Styela clava: one gene and its partner. The protein of the gene in region 1 interacts with the protein of each later gene in a biochemical or structural test. Links are inferred from orthologs where the notes say so. Each region holds a gene or a part of one and is shown on either strand. Other genes may lie near its edges.

The links.
Region 2: the proteins of ran-binding protein 3-like (region 1) and regulator of chromosome condensation-like form a complex in vitro, tested with the Homo sapiens proteins (2 studies listed by BioGRID). The link is inferred for Styela clava from reciprocal best matches to the Homo sapiens genes RANBP3 and RCC1.

What each region holds. Positions count from the first base shown.
Region 1 is NC_135260.1:20,225,596-20,234,447, forward strand, and holds the start of ran-binding protein 3-like, read left to right. Parts: upstream 1-5,401; 5' UTR 5,402-5,451; coding exon 5,452-5,512; intron 5,513-6,174; coding exon 6,175-6,357; intron 6,358-6,573; coding exon 6,574-6,684; intron 6,685-8,852. UniProt on the Homo sapiens protein: Acts as a cofactor for XPO1/CRM1-mediated nuclear export, perhaps as export complex scaffolding protein. Bound to XPO1/CRM1, stabilizes the XPO1/CRM1-cargo interaction. In the absence of Ran-bound GTP prevents binding of XPO1/CRM1 to the nuclear pore complex.
Region 2 is NC_135257.1:1,501,223-1,510,455, reverse strand, and holds the start of regulator of chromosome condensation-like, read right to left. Parts: upstream 3,950-9,233; 5' UTR 3,907-3,949; coding exon 3,831-3,906; intron 3,625-3,830; coding exon 3,532-3,624; intron 3,215-3,531; coding exon 3,018-3,214; intron 2,762-3,017; coding exon 2,573-2,761; intron 2,309-2,572; coding exon 2,171-2,308; intron 1,766-2,170; coding exon 1,681-1,765; intron 310-1,680; coding exon 148-309; intron 1-147. UniProt on the Homo sapiens protein: Guanine-nucleotide releasing factor that promotes the exchange of Ran-bound GDP by GTP, and thereby plays an important role in RAN-mediated functions in nuclear import and mitosis.

The DNA of each region.
Region 1 (8,852 bases):
AATACAATTATCGGGAAATATGATTATCGTTAGACATAGATAGATTCCGGTTTTATTTTAAAGTCTTTCCCCCCGGTAGAATTTTTTTATTTTTCAATATGTGAAAGATAATTCACTATATAATATAGTAAGCAAATTTCGTGATGTACAAACAAATAGAAAAGTTTCAATTCCTTGTTGCATTTTGTCATAAAATACCATTATCGGGAAATATGATTATCGTTAGACATAGGTAGATTCCGGTTTTATTTGAAAGTCTTTCCCCCCGGTAGAATTTTTTCAATATTTGATATTTGTAAGATAATTCATTATATAATATAATAAGAAAATTTCGTGATGTACAAACAAATAGAAAAGTTTCAATTCCTTGTTGCATTTTGTCATAAAATACCATTATCGGGAAATATGATTATCGTTAGACATAGGTAGATTCCGGTTTTATTTTAAAGTCTTTCCCCTCGGTAGAATTTTTTCGTTTTTCAGTATTTATAAGATGAGTCACTATTCTATATAATAGGCAAATTTCGTGATGTACAAATTGATAGAAAAGTTTCAATTCCTTGTTGCATTTTGTCATAAAATACCATTATCGGGAATTATGATTATCGTTAGACATAGGTAGATTCCGGTTTTATTTTAAAGTCTTTCCCCCCGGTAAAATTTTTTTATTTTTCAGTATTTATAAGATGAGTTACTATTTCATATAATAGGGAAATTTCGTGATGTACAAATTGATAGAAAAGATTCAATTCCTTGTTGCATTTTGTAATAAAATACCATTGTCGGGAAATAGAATTATCGTTGGACATAAGTAGATTTCGGTTTTATTTGAAAGTCTTTCCCCCCGGTAAAATTTTTTTATTTTTCAGTATTTATAAGATGATTCACTATTTTATATAATAGGCAAATTTCGTGATGTACAAATTGATAGAAAAGTTTCAATTCCTTGTTGCATTTTGTCATAAAATACCATTATCGGGAATTGTGATTATCGTTAGACATAGGTAGATTCCGGTTTTATTTTAAAGTCTTTCCCCCCGGTAGAATTTTTTCAATATTTGATATTTGTAAGATAATTCATTATATAATATAATAAGCAAATTTGGTGATGTACAAACAAATAGAAAAGTTTCAATTCCTTGTTACATTTTGTCATAAAATACAATTATCGGGAAATATGATTATCGTTAGACATAGATAGATTCCGGTTTTATTTTAAAGTCTTTCCCCCCGGTAGAATTTTTTTATTTTCCAATATGTGAAAGATAATTCACTATATAATATACTAAGCAAATTTCGTGATGTACAAACAAATAGAAAAGTTTCAATTCCTTGTTGCATTTTGTCATAAAATACCATTATCGGGAAATATGATTATCGTTAGACATAGGTAGATTCCGGTTTTATTTGAAAGTCTTTCCCCCCAGTAGAATTTTTTCAATATTTGATATTTGTAAGATAATTCATTATATAATATAATAAGAAAATTTCGTGATGTACAAACAAATAGAAAAGTTTCAATTCCTTGTTGCATTTTGTCATAAAATACCATTATCGGGAAATATGATTATCGTTAGACATAGGTAGATTCCGGTTTTATTTTAAAGTCTTTCCCCTCGGTAGAATTTTTTCGTTTTTCAGTTTTTATAAGATGAGTCACTATTCTATATAATAGGCAAATTTCGTGATGTACAAATTGATAGAAAAGTTTCAATTCCTTGTTGCATTTTGTCATAAAATACCATTATCGGGAATTATGATTATCGTTAGACATAGGTAGATTCCGGTTTTATTTTAAAGTCTTTCCCCCCGGTAGAATTTTTTTTATTTTTCAGTATTTATAAGATGAGTTACTATTTCATATAATAGGGAAATTTCGTGATGTACAAATTGATAGAAAAGATTCAATTCCTTGTTGCATTTTGTAATAAAATACCATTGTCGGGAAATAGAATTATCGTTGGACATAAGTAGATTTCGGTTTTATTTGAAAGTCTTTCCCCCCGGTAAAATTTTTTTATTTTTCAGTATTTATAAGATGATTCACTATTTTATATAATAGGCAAATTTCGTGATGTACAAAGTGATAGAAAAGTTTCAATTCCTTGTTGCATTTTGTCATAAAATACCATTATCGGGAATTGTGATTATCGTTAGACATAGGTAGATTCCGGTTTTATTTTAAAGTCTTTCCCCCCGGTAGAATTTTTTCAATATTTGATATTTGTAAGATAATTCATTATATAATATAATAAGCAAATTTGGTGATGTACAAACAAATAGAAAAGTTTCAATTCCTTGTTACATTTTGTCATAAAATACAATTATCGGGAAATATGATTATCGTTAGACATAGATAGATTCCGGTTTTATTTTAAAGTCTTTCCCCCCGGTAGAATTTTTTTATTTTTTAATATGTGAAAGATAATTCACTATATAATATAGTAAGCAAATTTCGTGATGTACAAACAAATAGAAAAGTTTCAATTCCTTGTTGCATTTTGTCATAAAATACCATTATCGGGAAATATGATTATCGTTAGACATAGGTAGATTCCGGTTTTATTTTAAAGTCTTTCCCCCCGGTAGAATTTTTTCAATATTTGATATTTGTAAGATAATTCATTATATAATATAATAAGCAAATTTGGTGATGTACAAACAAATAGAAAAGTTTCAATTCCTTGTTACATTTTGTCATAAAATACAATTATCGGGAAATATGATTATCGTTAGACATAGATAGATTCCGGTTTTATTTTAAAGTCTTTCCCCCAGGTAAATTTTTTTTATTTTTTAGTATTTGTAAGATAATTCACTATATAATATATTAAACAAATGTCGTGATGTACAAATTAATAGAAAAGTTTCAATTCTCTGTTGCATTTTGTCATAAAATACCATTGTCGGGAAATAGAATTATCTTTATACATAGGTACATACTTTTTTTATTTTAAAGTCTTTCCCCCCGGTAGAATTTTTAAATTTTTCGTTATTTGTTGGATAATTGGATATATAATGTAATAAGTCGATTTCATGGCGTACAAAGTATTAGAAGTGCCGAAATCAGACTTCAAAGCCATCGAGACAATGTAACCCTTTGGGTAAATGTTACTTAATTTGCTTTTGAATTTGCTTGTTCAATCTTTATTTTAAAAGATGTATTTGTGCAAATCAGATTCGATTTGTTCATATCTCATTCTTATTGATGGAAATGAATAGGTTTGGTATTTCGCTTAGATATAATTTTTTTTTGTTGTGAAACCTTCCTGTGAATTCATGCTTGTCCACCTATATATCTGGCAACAGTGATTGGAGATATCATTGTTCAGCTGATTTCGATTTATTTTCCCGGCAATTGTAGCTATTTTGTGCCATCATTTGCCGGACTTTGAGAGGTTCTGGCGCTGAGTTAAACATGGATATATGTAATTTAGTAATCTGTGAACGTTTAGGATGCCTTAACTTACGGTGAAACATTGTCAGAACGTCAGCCCACACTCGTGTGACGCTAGCCCACACTCGTAGGATGCCAGCCCACACTCGTGTGACGCTAGCCCACACTCGTGTGACGCTGGCCCACACTCGTTTTTGTCAGGCCATGCGAGGGGTAACTGGGCCGTGCTTGGTATTGTATTTGCGTTGTGTATATCAGATATGGTCTCTATATTGTCAGAGTCACCAAGTTTTTATGTAATTACGTTTATAAAGTCAGTAAAATAGTTGGTTAACCCCTTGACGTCAGGCTGAGTGTGGGCTGAGCGAGTGTGGGCTGGGGTAACTTTGGTCCATGCTGCCATGCATACGGTATACAGTAGTAATATTATCGGAATCAAATATCAAAATATACAGTAGGAGGTACCGTAATTCTCCGATTCCAAGATGTTTCGACATTTGGTTGAATATAACAAACACTCTGCGTCTGGCATGACAGCAGATGCGTCACATTGCACTATGCTTGTCTCGATATTAATTTAAATTAATTACAGTAATAGGTGCAAGCAGAACACTATCAAAGTCCCACACAAACTTTTGTCTTGTATAACTTATATCGTCTGCGGGGAGTGTGGCCCTGTTTAGTTGTTGATTGACATGGTTTTGACGTGCTCGTGCTATGTCAGTATGTGCAAACTACGGCCTACGGGCCAAATCCGGCCCGTTGGTGATTCAACCTGGCCCACCTGATGTTGCCATAAATTTCTGGTCATGAATTGTACACCAATAATAAGGCTTTCAAATCAAAATTTACTTTATTCTCCCAAACAACTATTTAACAGTTGTTTTGCTCATTTCCCCACGCTAGTGACTATGAGGCACCCCAGCATGCTGTGAAAAAAAGCAAATTACTGAATGATCTCCATAACGAATTCTGCCAGACATTTGGAAGTTTTGAAAAGCTTCAAGTATTGTTTCAAATTGTTTTATCTCATTTTTAACAAGTCACTGCAACATCACACACAAAGACAACAATTAGAATTGATCGATATTCTATGTGACTATGTTTTAAGATACAAATTCAAATCCTTGAAGCTTAATGGCTTGAGAGATACATGTTTTGAAATATTCAAAAAATGGCCCAGAGAATATTGGTGATATTTGGCTCCAAGTACATTTGTGAACAGACCTTCAGTCTTGTGAATTTATACAATTATACCCCTCTCAAATCTGTTTTGACAATTGCCACAACCAAACTAAAACCAAATTTTAATGTTTTAGCTAGAAAAAAGCTCAAGGAATTTGTTGAGATTGCGATTTAATTTAGTTTTGCACGAGGCTTATTGTTTTCCACTTGTGCTCTTTCAAAACACTTCAAATGAATTCCTGTTCATAAATTATAACTTTATGTCACACTTATATGGCCCGCAGGTCTGGGGGGCCAATTTTTCTAGTCCCTAGTCTGAAAACCTTGCCCACACCCCTGGTCTATATGCTAAATTGCCAATGTCAATTGAAGTGATTACATAATTTAGTAATTATAATCAAAGTATTCATACTGCATAAAGTCTGCAAGTTTAAAAAATCTTTGTTTGACACTATTACAATTGACACAAAATTGAGAAAATGTCATATGGTCATTACCTTGTTCATGTCTCAATCCAGCAATCGTGTATTTTTTCGAAATAAACAAATTTGGAATAATTTTTTTGATCCAATTTTATTTTGTTGGCTGTTTCTTGACCAATCTTAGGACCAAAATTTGCAACAAGCTGGTCGGCCATTGGTTTATAATTGTTAAAATATTCCATCCATTCATGATGGTATGATATACCGTAGTTTACATTTTCCAAGTGTGCTTCAGGCTTTCAGGAAACTTGGCTCATCTAATAGTCCTCTGGGCTCTGATATAGTGATTATAGTAATCGCATTAACCTAGTCCAGTCATACTATATGTATTCGTGGTCTAAATACTGTTTTCTTTTTTCATGTCATTGTAATTTTAGAGTAAATAGTATGGCCGATTCTTCCAATGTTGATCCAAGTAGTGGAATTCCAAATAGTGGAAGCACTCCAGGTCAGTAAATTAGGCTTTGGAATTTTTTTGGAAATTCAGTTATTATTTTAGGACATTTATTAATTTGAAATACCGGTATGCATATTAGTGGTGATGAACGAAATAAAATATTCAGATTGGAAATTCCCACAATTTTATCTGATGTATAATAAATACTAAATGCCTTTTATCCATAGGCCTACTATTTTTAATCAAAGGTCAAAACTCATTTTCAAATCATCAAGTCATTTTACCTCCTAATCTTGGCTTATGAAATTGGTTCGTAAGATGCAATATAACGGTATCAAACGCACATGCCACCGGCGCACCGCACTTCTGATTACCCTATATTGGTTTCATAGTTGGAATCCTATATGAGATATTTATATGTGAGATGATTACTGGTGAATAATATAACCACTGGTTAGTTACGGCTTCTTCCACTATCGGGTCCATGCGTCTGAAACAAACAACAGGTTAACTATTCTCATACCATACCCAGCATAGACTAGACTCTCAACCAGACAAGAGATTTCTAGACATTTAATTTAATGAAAAAATGAATTCATGATAGTTCAAGCTGCAAAGTTTTAGTGTTTCCAAACTTATTCACAACCAAATTTTTTTTAAAGTATGGTTCGGGGTTATTCCCATAAAATATTTTGTATTACTTTATATTTTAGGTGAAAATGGTGGAGGCTTCTGCTCTGGAAAAGAATCAAATAGAGTAATGAAACGTCAACGAGATGAGGAGGATGATGTTAGGGATAGTCCTGATGATTCCGAGCCTGAAGAGAAACGCGGCAGTTTTCGATTAAATCCTCCAACCTTGATTCATGGACAAGCAAAACCTGCACCGAAAGAAGGTTTGCAAAATAAGCTTTCAAGCTTTAATAAATATATCTGTAATTCTGCTTATCAAAAAAGTTATATTAAAATACATCTTTAAATCATTGGCTTTACATGCTACATAAATATTTCACATACCGGTATGTCCTATCTATCTACCTGGATTTATGAAGTGTAGTTTTAGAATCATTAATGCTTTATTTCGAAATTAATTAATTTTCATCTGTATTCAGAGGGGGCACAAGAAGCTAGTCAGAAAAGAAATTTTCTTCGGCCCTCTATTCTTAGTGCACCAGCTGCTCCGTCTCAATCTGTGTCTGCACAATCTTCTGCAGCATCGGAACGTAAGTAAATTCATGAATTTACTTCAGAGTCATTTTACTTTAGCTATATTTCACTGAAGAAATTTTCTCAATATTTTAGAAATTTTCATAAATTTGTTCCCCTATGAGATGTTCAATGAATGATATGCAAGATAGTGGAAAGTCAGAAAATGACTAGCTCTTGATTAAGTCTCTTGATTAAATTGCAATATATACATCACCACCACTTTACTCCTATGTAGTGGGAACCAGGTGTTTGCAAATGAATTTAAAATTTGTTTGTTAAATTGGGCATTAAGTGTCATCACTTTAATTTGAATTACAATTGTATCTTAACCTCTAAAAATAGTTGTTCCTCACATTATAGACCTTTGGCACTTTAATAACAAAGTATTCTTGAACTCCGAACCGTTTAATAATATAGTCGGCTTTCATGTAGTTTACGTGAGCTACAATACATTTTCTAATAACTCTTTAAATTCTATCTGTGTTTGACTATCTCTTAAGTCAGGGGTCACCAAACTACGGCCCGCAATAACACGCAAAAATGGCGAAATTTTTTTCCAAGGGAAATTTTCCCGAGCATTGTCTTCCTTATTTATTTGAAAATAGGGGCCAATCAGCGAGATGCAAATAAGTCAGTCATCATTTGCCTCCTTAAGAGTTGTAGTTTTAATAGTAGTACTGAAAAATTAGTCTAGAAATAGCTGTGACAAAATAGACTAAAATTATCTACCGGTGAAAAACATTTTTCGCGAAAGATGCACTCGTATACTTGTGGCGCGTGCTTTCGACGAAACTGTTTACGTTTCTTGTGCTGAAATGAACGTCGAATGTGCATGTTGCGCTAACAGTACTGTGATCCCTCGCATACTTCTGCAATTTCACAAGTCACACTAACTTTTGTACTGCCTAAATGCGGATATTCATGTGGGTATGTTACAAACAAATTAAAGTTCATCCGATTTAAATAAAAACTGCGCCAGTGGATAGATCTGAGTGAAAATAGGATGACAAGTTCATAAAAAACGGTCTGGAAACAACGAAGATATCGGAATTTCAGTACCGCCCGACATGCCAATTTTTTCCATAAGGATAGTATTACTTTTTAGATAATAACTATAATAAATATGAAAAAAGAACACATATCAATCTCTAACCTTTCGATCTGCGTCACATCTATGGAACAATGAGACTATTTCAGAATTTTATCGTCGCAAATAAACACTGGAGTTGTGCATGTTAGTTTGACAGTGGTTCATTGTGGGTAATAATTAAAGATGTTCTGATAGAACAAACTTCATAAAAATTGGTAAGTATCAAGATAGGAAGGAAATACACACGTTCACATAAATTTTATTGGTGTCCATAGACAATATCAAAATTTGCACTACGTATAACTTGAAATTTATGCGCTAATGAAACAAATCAAATACCAGATAATAGTTGTTTATTTTATCTAAATTATGTCAAAATTTCCAAGGTACCGCAGGCAGTCCGTAGTCATTAATATGAGCGGTATTCCAACGCGGCGTAACGGTACATAGCAGACGTGATGCCTACATATTTTTGGCGCGAAAAATTGGATTTTTTAACATTCCTAATTCATGACAGCAACGTTTTGCCAACAGCTAAACTCAGGATAGTTGAATAGATATAAAAATCTTGTATATTTTTCCTTTTACTAGGATTTTCTCGATATATTAAACCTTTATAAAGGTTTTTCCAGTTTCCCCAATTTTCCCAGTCTTCTGTGTGTTCATTGTTTATGTTTTGTGTATGATTTTTTTGCGGGGAAATAAAATCAAAATATATATACTTATATATTTATTATATTATATATACAGAATATATACTTATATATTCTGTCTTTAGAAATGAAGATTATATTTATTGTTGAATAAATTGAATGGATTTCCAAACATTTGTGAATTTATTGTATTGCATTGACAACAATATTTGTCCGGCCCGTTTCAACACAGTTTGAGTCAAACCCGGCCCGCGGTCAAAAAAGTTTGGTGACCCCTGTCTTAAGTGAAGGACCTAGAAATAAACTATTTTACTGTGCGCCAAAGTGAAAAATTGGCAGCTGTATGTTAATTTGAAAGTTTGGACACTTAGGATAGGATAGGATTTACATATTTATCCCGGGGGAGAGGAAAGCCGATAAGACGGCTTATCCATATGGC
Region 2 (9,233 bases), on another chromosome or scaffold:
TAATTTGTTATAAAGTTGCAACTTGGCATGACTACATAATTATATTGCAAAATCTATTCACTCTAAACATTGAAATTAATTTTAAGGCTTGAAAACACAATTACTCATATATAAAGTTACAAATATTGCAAGCATGCTTAAACTTACCTAACTGATGATAATTATTAAGACCGAACCCAAAAACATCTCCATCCGTTGAAACTATATATGTACAATATGATCCACAATAAACTTCACAAAACATTGGTTTTCCTGACTTCCCCTTTATTTTCGGCACTGTTACAGGTTTAGGACGTAGACATCGTTCTTCTTATAAAAGAGAGAATAATATATATCGTAAATAAAATGATACAAAAGAACGTTCAAAATTTGATTCAATTCAAAATCCAAATGAGAGAAGGTGATAACCAACAGACCACACAGCTCAAGCCCAGCCTGTTGTCGAATCGGTATTACATTAGTCCTGCTTGTTTGAATTATGCATTATTTGAATTCTGTTGAATTTGAGTCTAATAGTAGTCATAGTATTGTTAGTTTGTTACATCATAATATAATATACCAGAAAATCAAAACCAGGAATTGATTTTCCCATTTTTTGAAAATCAAACAAACAAGAAACCAGGAATTGATTTTCCCATTTTTGAAAATCAAACAAACAAGACCCTCCAACTGATAATCACGTTCTCAATCTATTGCATTGCTTAGTTTTCAAATAGACATTCATCATAAGTTACTGTAGGTTAAGCTTAGGCACACTCAAACAATGAGCAATTACAAGCTTTTGCCAAGGCTAATCAGGCATTCAAATTGTCTATATAACCCAATTGTCTATATAATTCGAACCCACGGGCGGTCTTTATCCATCTGACTGAAGTATCAGTAATACAATTACCAATCCTGTTTGATAAACACACCCTAAAATAAATCAATTCATTACTATCTTTGTATTAAATCTACAGAAATCAATCAGAAACTATCCTTTAAACCTGAATCTTGCTGTCCAAGGGATTTATAACCATTAGCTCTGCATTCAAGCAAAATATTCAGATTCAGACTGTTCTAATGAACTACCATTCAACTCATATAGTAATTTTCTAAGTCGATATCCAAATCACATTTTATGACAAATCTTTTGTAAAGATAAAACCATCTCAACTGTAAAACCGCATTATACCTGCAAAACTTAATCTTTCACGCAAACTGCTTCTTGGCATGGGTACTTCTGGATTTGCTGTAGTACTAGAAGATGAGACTTCATCTGTAGAATATTATTATTATTCTGTTCTCTCACTTCTCTGTATTATTAAATTTATCTAGAAGTCTGCCATGACCATCAATTTGGAACATTGAACTTGGTAAGTAAATAATCTGCTTTCCTAGCTCTACTTGTAACTTGGACGAGGAACCTCTGTTTGAGTCTGACAGACTTAAGACTAGATTTGGTTTCTTAAACTGGGTGTCCTGACCCCTCCCCTGGTGGGTCACAATAAGGCTTCATAGAGATTGCGGTGGACTAGATGAAAGTTGCTATTACACTAATTCATGAAGAGATTCCGTCATATTTGCTATCTCAATAATGACAGTGAGCATTTTGGTGATGATGATTATATATGGGTGCTTGGGTCTAAGATTGTTAGCAATCAATGACTAATTTATCATATTGTATCACTTCATTCTTACCTGCACTTTTCCTTCCACCTCTACTTAATGCGTATTTACTCAATCTTCCAAGTTGTCCTTGCTCACCACAACCTAATGTAAATACCTGTGAAGTATTGTAATATTAGTTTGAAAACCGGTAATATGTCTCAAAAAAAGTAGCATGCATTTTTTCTAATGAATAAGCACACAAGCAAAGAAATAATATTTTTGCTGTCTATGAAAATTGAATGCCTACATAACGTAACATAACTTCACAGTGCAAGATCAAATTAGGCTGCTTAGGCATTGCCTTACTTAATATTGCCCTACTTAATTCATTACACTTAGGGTTTGAACGAGAGAATGTTAAAGTTAATTGATGTACATTGGCAAATACTCAACTCGTGAAACAAACGAACCCACGATTTCCAGATAAATTGAAAAAATTCAATTTGCTTTCAACAGATTTAGTTCTGAAGATACAAAGGTTCAACTGAATGAATATTAGAGAAAATTTGAAATGACAAACCTTTCCCTCGTCAGTGATCATTGCAACATGGTCACATCCAGAGGCAATTGCTACAACACAATTTTGAATTTGGTCTAATTTGATTGGCTCGCCACACTTTTCCCATTCCTTAGCTAAACCCAGTCTGCCGTGATTATCCTGAAAACAATTGAACAAAAATGAAACATCCTAAATCTTGTAATCACAAGAAATTTATAAACTCGATTGAAAAGATTCGACATGATCATTAATTTTTATGAACAATTGGGGCCCAATTAAATTTGCACCGAACAAAAATTAGCGTCTATGTTTTCAGAGTCCTATATGTTTTCAGAATCCTATAACATAGGCTACCTAATACCTGCTTGTTCTGCAGTTGTCTTTGTTTAAAAATAATAAATTAAAATAATTTTTTATACTTACTCGAAAACAGCCCCATAAAAATACATTTCCATCTTCTGATAAAGCAGCACAGTGACTATCACCAGCAGATATATCAATTACTTTTACTCCTTCTAAACTTCCACCGACAATTTTAGGTTCAAATCCTTCTGAATCGTCAGATGTTAATCTTCCTAATGCCCCCTCATCATTGCAACCGAATGAGTAAACCTACGATTATAAATCCATGGGTGTTAATGTCCAAAATTATATAAATAACATGTGAGTGAGAAACCGACAATATTAAAATAGCAGAGGATAGAATTTTTCATTTAACTCAGGCAAGGTAGATTGCAAGGTAGTTCGAAATAACTGATCAACCATGGTGCAAATAACTTTTAACTGGAGTGTCCAACAACCTTCTTCAGTTTCAAGTCATATTCAGACTTTCAGAGTTACGGTATATATATATGATTTTTAGCTATACCTTATGATCGTCAGTCAAACAAACAGTGTGCATTCCTCCGCCAATAATTTTCTTGATCTTTTTTCCATCAAGTTCTCCTCTCACCAAAGCAGGCTTTTTTCGTTCCATTATATCTTCTCCTAGTCCCAGTTGGCCTGTATCTCCTTGTCCCAATGTTAGAGCTACTCCCACAGAAGCCAATTCAAATAAATTGGGAACTGAAAGTCAAAAGTAGAGTGTCAGACTACAAAATATCGTTTTGTTGCTACAATGTACTTTTGAAAAAAAAGTGGAATGAAAAATATGAGCATTTCTACCAACTTATATTTATTACACATATAAAAATTGGTGATCTAATGGATGCAAAATTCAAAGGACCAGTCATTCACTCATGCCTAAAACTTTTTTGTAACCAATATATTTTATCAAAGTTTTATATAGGCTACAGAGGTGTCGATTCAAATACAGCCAGTATCTCATATCAGCATGTGGTCTATGTTATCTGTGATATATATATAGGAATAAATATTATTACCTTCTATCTTCTTCTGTTTTATTCTTGGTTCCTCAGAAACGGATTTACTGAGTTTACGCTTCCCAGAGTTTGAGCCTTTCTCAACTGCAGAAACTGGTAAAAATTGCAAAAAATTTTAATAAAATATTGTTCCTACTGTACCACCATACAGTCATAATAAACTATGGTGTGATTTTTGAGTACTTTCTCTCAAAAATCTGAAAATTGTTATCTGGTTATAGAATAAAATCTGAAAATAGGTTTTTGCCATAGAAAAAATTCAACTTCAGGACTTGGTTAAAAAATACAAATAGCCTCACTTTTCCTTGGTCTCCCTCGAGATTTCTTTGGTTCTTCAGTTTTACCCACATCTTTAGTTGATAATTTGCGAACCATTTTCTTTTCAAAACAATTACAGTTATAGTCTACCGGTAACAATCTAAAGTTTGATAATATCCCGTTATAAGATAAGCTTAATACTGTCCTGGGCAGCGCAGTACGGTACTTTGTCTTTTAGAACTTTAAAAAACAGTTGGGCTATAGTCTAACTTAGCTACAAGTACCGATTCATTCTCACCAGAATTAGAGTTATTACGGTATGTAGTACCGTAGGTTGTAGGCTACGTACAGACGTATAGGTACCACAGTCGCTACCATAAACAGTCAACTGACCATTAAAAACTGCCTTCATAAGTCAGTGATTAACACCTACCGTAGCTTAACTACGACAGTTTAAAATATTCTGCAAGTCGTATTACTGCATTCTGGTATTGCGAATACTATTGGATTTACTTAGTAAAATGCAATCTGGAGACGGGAATGCTGGAACGGTTTATCAGTATTACGCCAGTCTGGATTTCATGGCCTTTTTGAACGAGAAATCGGGCGTGCAATCAGAAATTCCCGCGTGCAAATAAGAATTCCTGGCGTGCAATTATAGCTCACGACGTGCAAAACAACTGCACTCGCGTGCAACTGACTTTGACATCAGATACCTCTCAATACATCCGCGTAAAATTACCGGTATCGGATAAAAAATACGTTGAATCAGAGAAAAAATGGACGTTTGACCTTTGACCCCAAACATTATTTCTACAGTTTGTCGCTAATTTTGAGAGTGTTTGTGCGACTTTGGATACCGGTACTGTTCAGTACATCCGCGTAAAATTATTGGATAAAAAATACGTTGAACCAGAGCAAAATGGACATACTTTGTCATTAATTTTGGTAGTGTTTTTACGTAGAATTAATGGATAAAAAATACGTCAAATTAGAGCAAAATGGACGTTTGATCTTTGACCCCAAACATTATTTTCATACTTTGTCACTAATTTTGGGAGTGTTTGAGCAACTTTAGATACCGGTACTGTTCAGTACATTCGTGTAAAATTATTGTATGAAAAATACGCTGAATCAGAGCCGTACTTGGCCATTGGTGCGGAGGCGATCTTTTCGTCCATAACTATTCTCACGGGATTCCTATTTCCTATCATTCAACACGATATGGACCTTTCCCCGAGCATCGACTTCCTTGTTTACTTCGTGACATTGGCCAATCAGCAAGATGCAAAAAAGGATGTAACAATGAGAGGAATTTTTCGCGGGTCAAAGGTTGGGGAAAGGTCCATACTCCATGGTCTTTTTGCTTCGCAATATTTCGATCAGACCAAATCTTGCAAGCTGGTATTTGTCGACAATTGTGGAGGTATAATATTTTGGCATCTTTATATTACTGGATTATTGATTTTAAAACCATTTAAACCGATTTACATTGGTGAGCAATTGCAAATTTTCGGCGTGCAAAATTGATTTCGCTCGCGAGCATTTTTGCGGAGCGCTAGCGCCCTCGGGCGTGCACCTGCCATGGAATCCAGTCTGGGTATTACGCACCGGTTCTATTGTTGATTATTGTTTGTTCTCGAGCCTCTTATCTTCAGAAGTGCTATAATTACCACAGGCGCTCAAGCGTCGTCCCGCGAATCACGCAGTGCAGCAGTGGTACATTCCCGCAATTAAAATGCACATCTCATACCGGTACACCGATGTCATTTTGACAGATTTTCAGCAGAAAAAATAAGACTTTACGTCCGGACGTCAGAGAAAAAAAATATTTTGTCACATTTGACTTATGATATGATAAGGCGTAAATATATACTACTACGGATAGGTCATTGAGTTGTATAAATAAGGTATATAAATGAATATTTCTGGAGGCTGAATCTAGCACAAAATAAAACAAGAGAGCTATGCTCAAATATATGGACACGTGACGCCACATAAGGGCAAATTTTGATGGCGTTATAGCACACAAAAAAAACGATAAATAAAAGTAAGCCTTCTAGCTAAAAATATAATCTTTACTCTTTAAAAATTTTAAAGCAATTGGTTTAGTAATAAAGGAGAGAAGCGATTTTTTAAAAAACGATACAAAGATGAAGTCCAACAAGAACAAGATTACCAAAAACATGAAAACGATCCATAGGTCAAGTGCAGTTTCAAGTATTTCGTGGCGTCTAGAAGTGCCGCAAAACCATGGCGAGATCATTGTGGGTATATACACCTCAATGGGCGAGATATCCCAACCATAACCGCTATGACCAAACCCACGGCGACTGACTTTTTATCTGCCACAAACCACTGAGGTGTAATGCCACAAACCAACAGCGAGCTGCCGTCGTAACCATTGAGGTGTATCCAAAGTGACTACACTTTGGGTGTATCACCTCAATGGTCGTAACGGCAGCAAATCGAATGCCGCCAATTTTGCTGCCGTAACCACAGCATGTCGGCTGTAATCATTGAGGTGTCTGTAATAGCAAGGCTGCCCCTGATGGTGATAAATATTGGGTAAGTTGGAACGTTTTTCTTATGGATACAGTTTGGGTGAATTTGGGGTTAGGTTTAGATTTAAGTAGATATAATTTGGCATGATAAACTAAAATATTGTACATGACTTAGTAAATACACCGGTAATAGCGCCACAACACCATGGCAGGAGACAGCGGGGTACGCTCGTGGCAAGAGCTGCCATGAAGTGGTAAGAACTGCGCCTCCATAGGTCACCCACATGTCCAAAAAACAATATTTTTAATATAAGGGATTCATTACGGGTTAAGGAATCGATGTTTTTTTCTGAGCATCGACTCACTCGTCTACTTCTTTATCATTAACTAATCAGCAAAATGTCAATTGTGGCGTGCCAATTCAAATTACCGGCCACACAGAAAAGCTTTTCCCACCCAAACAGGCCTTCGGCGCTGGAGCTTGGGAGTAAACGTTGGATTGCTTTCGTGGTTTTGTTGGTTATTTGTCAATTTTTGATTGCGTTACCTAAATTCAGGTATAGATGTCTTTTTGTCCCCCGACGTAGCCTTGCTACAAATTTTAAAATTTTTAAACCGCATATAAGATACGCTCAGTAGGCCTACATAGACTTACACAATGTACAATAAAACAAAATGGTGATGAGAGACGGGGAAAACAATACTGATTATCTCAGAAGGAGTCACAAAATGAAACAAATATATAAACGAGAATATCGGTCGGAGACCGAAGCCCATCGATCGAATGTTAGGGGATCTCCAAAACAGAAACTGCGGTTTTGCATCATTCGCTCTTACTCCATAGTGACACCGTGTGTCACATCACTAATTAATTGATAATTCGCTAATTATGCAACATAATTCATCCAAAATAGGCTTCTAGTCCGAGATATGATGAATGCACATGCAAAATTTAGAGCAGATTCAACCTCGCTTTCGCGAGATATCGCGTAACATACGAAAGTGTCTAACAGACAAACAGTATAGTTCTGGAACAATGCTTGAATGCTTTACATTGCTTTGGTAATTGTTGACAAACAGCATCATGAAATTATGGGATGGCGATATCAATTTTCGGGAACTATTTCACTTTCTTTATTTTGCTAAGAGGTCGTACAATTCATGGAGAATCGCCCACAAATGTTTATTTAAACAACTAAATTGAAGAAACAAGACATGCATTTAGCACACACACTGCTTAGAGTTTAAAATATTATATTTTATCTATTTTTCAATTTTGTAGAATATTTGCGTAATTTATTGAAAATCAAGAAATGGGTCTCGTATCTTGCATTCACTGGGACAGGTATTGAAGGCATTAGATAAAAATACATGCTGTAATACGAATGCGCCACAGAAAATGGCTTGCTTCACATGCAGGGGCGTGTCAAACTTTTCTGCTACGCGGGGCGAGTTTCTCCCCTTATACCTAACTTCAAAAATAATAAGAGGGATAAACAAATTATAGATACAGTGGTATACATGAGAATGAATCAATCAAAGGTCAAGTAAGAGTTGAATGTTTGTATTATCATTATTTTAATCATCAAACTAAGCAACAACCTCGCCCCATAACGTTCTGGTCACCACCTAGTCACTCCCCTGGTTATATATTACACGCAACTTTAGGAGTTGCTCTTACCCAATCCGCTATTTTAAAGCTTTTTTGATGACAGTTTAAAGTCTTAACTTGCAGAACAGACCAAGTTGTATTCAATACAAAAAGTCGGACTTCTGATTTATACAAAGCATTGGAAAATAGAATGCATTTGTCGCTTGAAAAAAATATTTTCAATCGCTCATGAAATTGGTGTAAATCGTTGTAAAATCTCCTGCGGTTATTTTATTGCAATTCTTGTATGTCGAATGAGACAAGTATTTGCAGTAGGATATGGATTGGATTTTGTACGAAATAAAAGTAATTCTGATTCTACAGGGGAGAAGCACACAGAGGAGAATCCTACAAAATGGCGTACTAGTCTTCGACCCTGTCTCCTTCTTGAAGTTCATGCGTGAAAGCAAAGTATGATCTAGAAAATGAAAATCATGTTGATGATGAATCTTGCTATGCGTTTAATTTTTAAGATTGCAAACAGAGCTTGGCATTTTAAATCGAATAGTGAATTTTTGGAATCGGTCCAGACGAAAATTTTGGATCGCCGCCATGTTTTTTTTTCGTTCACCAAAGATCGAGGTCCGTCTATTTTTTCGTTGAGGCATATTTGTTTTACATACGAGTGATTTATTTATGACACAGGTTTCTTATTCTGTGTGAACACACAACCAACTGTACTCTAAGTGAATGATTGTATGTTTTTAGTAATTCCATCACCAATATTTCAAGTATTCGAGATTCAATTCTGAAACCACTAGGTATTTGGAAATATACTGGAAGAATCAATTGAATCTGTGCACATTTGAGTCTCTAGTTGCAAAATCTTCATCATTATCTAGAAAAGAACTAGTACGACAATCTTTATCAATGTCCCCATCTTAACAAGACTATACAATAGATCTCAATCCAGCGATATGAATATATTTAGGCATCTTCTATCAATAAAAAATTTTTTTTTTGCAGGTTGTGTGGACAAGTATAGAAGGCAAAATATTTATGCTCGAACTGGAAATGGGAGCTTTTTCGGTACTTGGAGAACTTATGGCGCATTTCGTTGTAACGTTGATTAATGTTGTAAACGAAAAAGTCATGAATGAAAGGGTTACAAGTGAAATGGTAGACCTGTAGGTACAGAAAGCATTGTTCAATTATATGGACACGAAAGTGAAACATTTCAACAACAGTATACAATGTCAGATCTATGGTATACAAAGGACAAATAGTATAAGAGGGATTGTCGCCTGGTTGGCATTTTGGTTACGACGTGTGTACGCGAGTACAAATTA